Linked DNA regions of Oryzias latipes. The protein of the gene in region 1 interacts with the protein of each later gene in a pairwise test. Links are inferred from orthologs where the notes say so. Each region holds a gene or a part of one and is shown on either strand. Other genes may lie near its edges.

Region 1 (3,500 bases):
GGTTAGGGGAAGCAGGGGAAGGGGTTGCTCCACGCTGACGGTCCCTCCCACAACTCAGAGACGAACTTCTAAAGATTTTCATCAGAATGGGTCTGTAAGCTTTAATATACGGGGGCAGAAATAAAACTGAAATTTCATTCTTCTCACTGCTCCTTTCCAGTCATTAAGATGTGAGGACATGTGTTGTATTGAAAATGTTAATGGTACTGTGGTACTCTTAATAAATAGAATAAACAAGCAGAACAAGAGCAAGGTAAAGGAAAAGCTGTTGCACTGTTGAATAGTGAGGGTTTGAAGCATGCTTTCACATTGGAATCAGTCGCTCAAACGTGCGTTTCCGAGCCCCGTGTGATGGTAGTATGAGACACACGTGACGTAATGATGGAAGTGGTTTACACAAGAGGTTAATAATACGAATTTGAGTGTCTCACACCCTTGACCTTTATTTGTATTCGAGTCAATTGCTAACTTCTGGTCGTAAAAGTAGACTTTTGGTAAATGTGCCAAAAGGGTATTTGCAAAGGAAGGGATCATTTCCAGACAAAGCAGGAGCATCTTCGAGGCTCCACTCCTACTGACCGACTTCACTGAGGAAATGAACGGCGTGAGGAAGCTCCGCCTCCTCCAGCTGCAGCTGACACTCCTGGATGAGCTGGAGGAGCTGGTAGCGCCTGAGGACGGGGAACTCTGGCGAGATTCTGGTCCTCTCCAGAAGAACTCTACGCTCCAGCTCCACATAGCTGTCTGGTACCAGCTGGCCCATGACAAGCTGGCCTTGGATCTGTGAAAAAGAGCAGAAAACATTAGCAGGGTTGAGGTAGACGTGATTTGAACTCTTCCATCCTGTGTTTGCGTTGCTCCACCTTAAAGCTGGTGACCTCCCTTGTGATAGCCTTGCGGAGATTGGCAATGGAGTCGGAGTCCTCACAGAAGTAGCCCATGTGATGATCCCTGATTGCTGGAAAGCCCTGGTGGTTCAGCAGCTCTGCCCTGGTTTTCTTCAGACAGTCCTGGAAGTGCAGCTCATCGCTCACGTCTGCATGAGTGCCCACGAGGATGACCGGAGACAGCGGTGCTACCGCCTGAAGTAAACAGACGAGAGCAGCGAGTGTCTGACCTGAAGGAAAACAAGCCAAATTCATGCACCTTGACTTTGTCCGTACCTTAATAGTGAAGAGCCAGGGTTTGAGAGCATCCACCTGACTGGATCCTTTACTGAGGTTGTACACCACCAAGTAGACAGCCCTGGAAGTGAGGAAGTGAAGATGGGAGCCACTGAACTCTTCCCCCCCTGTTAAGGATGGAAAGGGACTCCTGACTGGCCTTCCAAAGCAAAGTTACCCTCAACTTGAGCAGGTTTTCTAACCTGTGAAGTCCCAAACATTCAGCACCATTTTCTTCTTATCCCGGTCCTTGATGGTCCAGTCTAAGACGTTAATGCCTGCAGCATTCTGATTTGAGTTCAACTGGCGCTTCTGCTTCATCAGTTGATGGATCAGCGTGGTCTTCCCGCTGCTGGGATTCCCCACCACTATGAGCTTCATTCTGTGATACGGCACCGCCTTCTTTAGTCGCTGCTGCAGGGACCTGAAAAACAATTCCAGAAACGGGGTGCAAATCTGACTCCACTGCATTCTGTTCAAGATGTCATGAGGCCAAACATCTATCATTAACCAAGACATGATGCACCAGCAGAGAGGACGTTTGGGTTAGAGAGGCACAGCTCAGGTTGTGCAGCACTCAGATGAACCTTTAGCTCAGTGGAGGCGGAGCTTGAGACTGAAGCTACAGTCATATCTCCCACAGCAACGTGCATTCAGGCAACCACTTTAATGAAAAGCTTATGTAAACGTGCATAGAGGCGGTTTCAGGTCTCTGAGTTCAAAACTTGCAAAGGTTTTAAGTCAATTTTCTGGCTCTACATCTGAAACACTGAACGTGCATTGAAAGTTAACAGGCTAAACTTTGACCAATCTTGGATTTGGCAGTGTCGTTTGGATGACATCCCCTTTAATTCACGGAAGTACCAACCATTTCAAAATTGATCATGGAGGAGAAATTAATAATTGTGGTTTGTGTTCGGCTGGAATTCTACGACAGCGAGTCTTTCATTCATCGGAATAGAGCTGTGAAAGAAAAAGCCTGGAGCAAGATTCACCAGATTGGCACTGCTTTGACATTTCACACAAAGCCTCTTCCAACTGTGACTACATGTGCTAGTATCAGATGGCGACATTCCAGTGTGAACGCCATATGCTGAACGTGCGTTTAGTGCGTTCTCACATGCCCGGTGTGAAGTGTGAATGTAGCATTATTTTTAATGCACCTGTCCGGGTGTTGAACTGTAACGGGTTTTTGAAATGTCCAGGTTTGTGGAGGGTCGTAGAGTGGAGCAGCTGCATCGTAAGGGCACTGAAGATGCTCCTGGTATGGGTATGGAGTGTGTTTTGAAAAGTATTTGTAAGAATAATGTAAGTTACACACACTTATGACATGTAGGTGATGCTGTCGTACAGCGTCTCAATGCCACAGTCTAGTCATTGGGGAAGTGCAAGCACTCTCTCCATGCCGACCATAAATCCTGCACAGGTGATACCTACATGCCCATAGCATGTGGGCACACACATTCTTAATGTCCAATTTCCTCTTTTCTAACAGTGAGGCTGCACACAACAAGCACACTTACCTTGTTAACAGCACTAAAGGGCTGCTTGTGCAGGAAAGGTGTTAGAAAAAAATAATTTCTGTGATATATTGCAATAGTTCATTTGGCGACACCTGATGCTATAAGGACGATATTTATTTAATTATTTATGAGCATCCTTCAGCGTCTGACTCTTGTTTTTCACTTAAACCTCTGTCGCTAGTTGGTAGCAGAGCCCACTGAGCCTCTTTGAGCAGCTCTACACCACACAAGACTACACGATCTCAGCGAGGAGCAGCTTGTTTTGTTTTTATGAGACATGCACTACTTAGTTTTTACTTAGAATGGGTACCGAACCGAAACTCTGTGCCATGTTTCTGCCAGTAACATATGAAAACATGGATTGTGGTGCTATGTAGCGGCTCAGATAAGAACGAGTGAAGCTCTGCAGCTGCACAACGGGTTCTAATGCACGGAGCATCGGCCAAAATGCTATCGGCAAAGCGGGCCAAAGTTCTGCAGAACCTCACAGCAATGGATTCTGGTTCAGTGACCTCATGGATCAGAGTGATGTGTGAAAAAAGGACAACATCGTGGCGATGACCATTACTAGTTCACTTCAGCGTGTAAGAACGCGTGGCTGCAGCGGTGCAGAGCAGACTGTGATGTAAACAAAGCCTCTTAGCCACATTAAAGCGTCTCCTTCATCCTGTCATGCTGCCTCATCATCATCACTTCATTGTTTCTGGAAAGAATTAGTGTCCCCCCCCCCCCCCCCTTTATTTTTGAAGTACCATTCAGGCATCATTCAGTTTAGAAATACTGGAGAAGCTACATTAAGCAATATTGAAAATAC
Region 2 (3,500 bases), on another chromosome or scaffold:
GCATTTCACAGACCCTCTCCTCAGATCTTAGCAATCTCAGCGTTGGCCAGGAAACAGAAACTAAAATGTCACAAAGTCAGGCTCGGTCCTTACTGCACATGTGCAGTTACCAGGGCTGGCCTGCCCCACCATGTGCTCGTTTTCTTCTTCTTCTGTTTTGTTTGATGGCAGTTCGGTCCCCAGCGTACGAGGATACCGACACAGACACGTGTTGTTCACAAAGATGTTTTACTTTTAGATGCACTTTAGTTCATGGATTTTATTCCTGGTCATTTATTTGGAAAGCAGTTTAAGTCTAATATAACTTAAAGGAAAGTTTCTAGCTACTTGAATTTTTGTTTTCTGGGAGAATTTTATTTTTGTTTCCACCACATTTGCACTAAATGGTGTCATTTATTTTTAAGAAAGACACTATAATTTGTTCACAGAATATCTGATTCACAGCTAGTTTTGTAAATAATAGCCATGGTTTTGTTTTTCAACAGTTAGTACCAATGTGTCTGGCAGCTACTTGACTGCAGTAGTTTAGTACTAAATAATGGCTGCTGTTCATGTTAACTATTGTTTAAACCAAACTTTACAGATATGTCCAAATGAAAATTGTCATTTTGTCAAAGACAGAGTATTACTGATTTCAGAAATGTTAAACAGAAGTCTGTTATTCATTACACCAAATAGGACACAAGTTGTTCATTATTATTGTGTTTAAAAACTAAAAAATAAATGGGGAAATATTTTCCAAAAAACAGTTTTTGAAGTTCTTCTTTCTTAAAGTTTGATATATCGTGAGTTGTTAGAGACGATATATATCGATTATCACAATATCACCATGCCGTGATAGTATCGTATCGTGAGGCACCCAGTGATTCCCAGCCCTAGTATCCGGTAACAGCTCGGACAGAGCTGCTGGGAAATGTTACCGATGATTCAAGCGGCTTTACTGTCTCGATGTTGGCGAAGAGAAGAAGTGACGTAACGTTCACACATGGGGGGCACAGATCAACCCACAAAATTAGCACCAGCAGAAGCCCCGCTACTCTGGGTGTCACATTCTGTTCACGTGACGTCTGTGCCCTGTTTTGGTTACACCTGTGCAAAATTACAATATCACTAGTATGGAGGTGGGGGCCCACGGCGGGAAATGTGACCTTTAACGGGAAAAATTCTCGTTTATCATCCAATAACCTTTGTGGAAGACCTGAAGGTCAGACGTGACCTCTGAGCGCCAGGACTGACCTTCAGGACGACGTCACCTGGATGAACCTTCAGACACTAGAACGTTGCTCAAGAACCCACTAGGTAATGTAAAGGAAACAGAAAATAGGGGGGCGGGGCCGGTGAAAGGTCACTCACAGACGGGCTGTCTCCGGGGGCTGAACACGTGGATGTCCATGGGGGAGAAGATGTTGGAGTGCACGGTGCGCTGGCCCCTCCCCGTCTCCTTGGTACAAGAGTGGATGGAGTGGGTGTTCCAGTCGGTCCAGAAGAGCGTGGACTCGTACAGCGTGAGGGCGAAGGGGTGAGGAAGCTCGTCTTTAACCACCACCTCCCTGTGAAGAGCAAGAACACGGAATTGAATCAAGCAGTGGAAGAGTGTGGGGTGGGGGGTCGGGATGGGGTCAGAACCTGTGGGATCCGTCCAGGTTGGAGCGGTGGATGAAGTTGAACTTGGCGTCTGCCCAGTACAGCTTCTGCTGGCTGTAGTCCAGCGTCAGCCCGTTGGGCCAGTAGATGTCTTTGTGGATGATCATGGAGCGGTTGGTGCCGTCCATCCCCGCCCGCTCGATCTTCGGGACCTCCCCCCAGTCTGTCCAGTACATGAACCTGACGGAGCAGAGGAGCATCAGAGGACGGGACCAGAACAGTATTATGGGATGTCTGACCATAATACTGGCCATTTAAAACCCAGCAGAACAAACTCCAACCACGACACCGGTCTGAGCGTCCTGAACCCATCTAAGGCTTTGAGACTCTTCCAAACCAGGACCAAACCCAAACCTGACGGCGACCCCATCCACTCATCATCCTGGACTCCAGCGAACGTTGAGGAAATGAGCAAAGCTCAGACAGAATTTATCAAATAAGAACCAAAGTATTTAAATATTTGAAATCAGAAACAGAACATCTGAATCGGATAAACTTTTTCATTCTTTCAACATCTTCTTCACAAGCCTCATTAACCAGATGCCTCAACGAAAGTAGGCGGGGCCTGCAGGCCCCCCATGTCCAAATTATTTGACAGATTTTATGTAGCCCGCTTTCAAGTGGTAGGGGTGTGGCCTTAAACCAAGCTCATTCCAGATTTGTGTGAATGGTTGCCATAGAAACGATGACTCAGACCAACTAGGACCCAGCACTGCTTACAGACGACTGCTGGCTCCAACATGGCGGCATCCATATCATTTAAAAAGTGGCATCTGAATTTTCTACGGGCGAAGTCACAATCACTCGGTCCATTCAATGGTTCAGCCCAAAAAACTACAAAACACACATGGGCTGGTGCCATGTGACTCTGGGAGGGGGTGGGCGCCTGAACCGTCCATCATCAGGTCATAGAACAGCCCCTCAAAAAAGGGGAGGAGCCTGTGCTTGTGCAGGAGACTGAGTGACAGCAGCTGGTTGGTTGGGAACGACGTCACACGATTGTGACTGTAAGCTTCAATCATAAAAAAGTAGCTCCAGAATCCAAAACTTAATTCTATTTTCTCCATTAGTCAATTCAATTTTATTTGTTTAGCCCAAATTCACAACAACAACAGTCGTCTCAATGGTTTCGTATCGGTAATTGAAAAAGTTAAACATGAACTCAAAAGGATCATGAATACAAAGAATTCAATAGGAAAATACTAAACTGGACATTCCTGCCCTTAGACCCCCCCTCTCTGTGAGGAAAAACTCCTAAAAAAACGGATTCTGGAAAAAGGAAGAAACCTCAGGGGGGTCCGCATGAAGGAGGGATCCTCCCCCAGGACGGACAGGTGATTTACCAGAATTAACTTATCTAACTCTACAACTACATATTTAAAGTCCAGCAGACGAGCTTCATCCAGATGGAGTTGGGGGGACAGTCGGGGGTGTGAGTCGAGCCGGAGACAGGATCCACATCCAGGTGTAGGAGCAGGAGCAGAGACCAGGTACTCGGTCAGGAACTGGAGCACGGATGACGGTTAGCTTGAATGAATTGATTTAGTGTTATAAAATCTGCTCCATAGAAAAGCGAAAGTCCTTCTGAAAGGTTCGCTAAAGCGGGTCAGAACCGTGGTCCTGATCCAGCTGCTGCTGCAGCGCTCACACAGAGACAACCACCTCCCAGCAGCTGCTGGTTGGGTTCTGGACCGGTCCCTGAACCGTACCATCAGCGCCCTGGACCGAGTCCAGGCGTGCAGAGCGCGGCAGAACAAAGCCGCTTTGTGCCGCCCCCCCAAGCATTCATCGCCGCGGCTGAGCCGGGTCCACGTCTGCCTTGAACATTTCAAACACAACATATGATTTCATTGTAC

The links.
Region 2: the proteins of lrrk2 (region 1) and lrp6 interact in binary tests that used the Homo sapiens proteins (3 or more experiments, as listed by UniProt). The link is inferred for Oryzias latipes from reciprocal best matches to the Homo sapiens genes LRRK2 and LRP6.

Annotation. Positions count from the first base shown.
Region 1 is NC_019864.2:2,156,222-2,159,721, forward strand, and holds part of lrrk2 (leucine-rich repeat serine/threonine-protein kinase 2), read right to left. Parts: intron 1,588-3,500; coding exon 1,367-1,587; intron 1,292-1,366; coding exon 1,164-1,291; intron 1,083-1,163; coding exon 864-1,082; intron 782-863; coding exon 580-781; intron 1-579. UniProt on the Homo sapiens protein: Serine/threonine-protein kinase which phosphorylates a broad range of proteins involved in multiple processes such as neuronal plasticity, innate immunity, autophagy, and vesicle trafficking.
Region 2 is NC_019881.2:23,650,698-23,654,197, forward strand, and holds part of lrp6 (low-density lipoprotein receptor-related protein 6), read right to left. Parts: intron 1,825-3,500; coding exon 1,627-1,824; intron 1,551-1,626; coding exon 1,354-1,550; intron 1-1,353. UniProt on the Homo sapiens protein: Component of the Wnt-Fzd-LRP5-LRP6 complex that triggers beta-catenin signaling through inducing aggregation of receptor-ligand complexes into ribosome-sized signalosomes.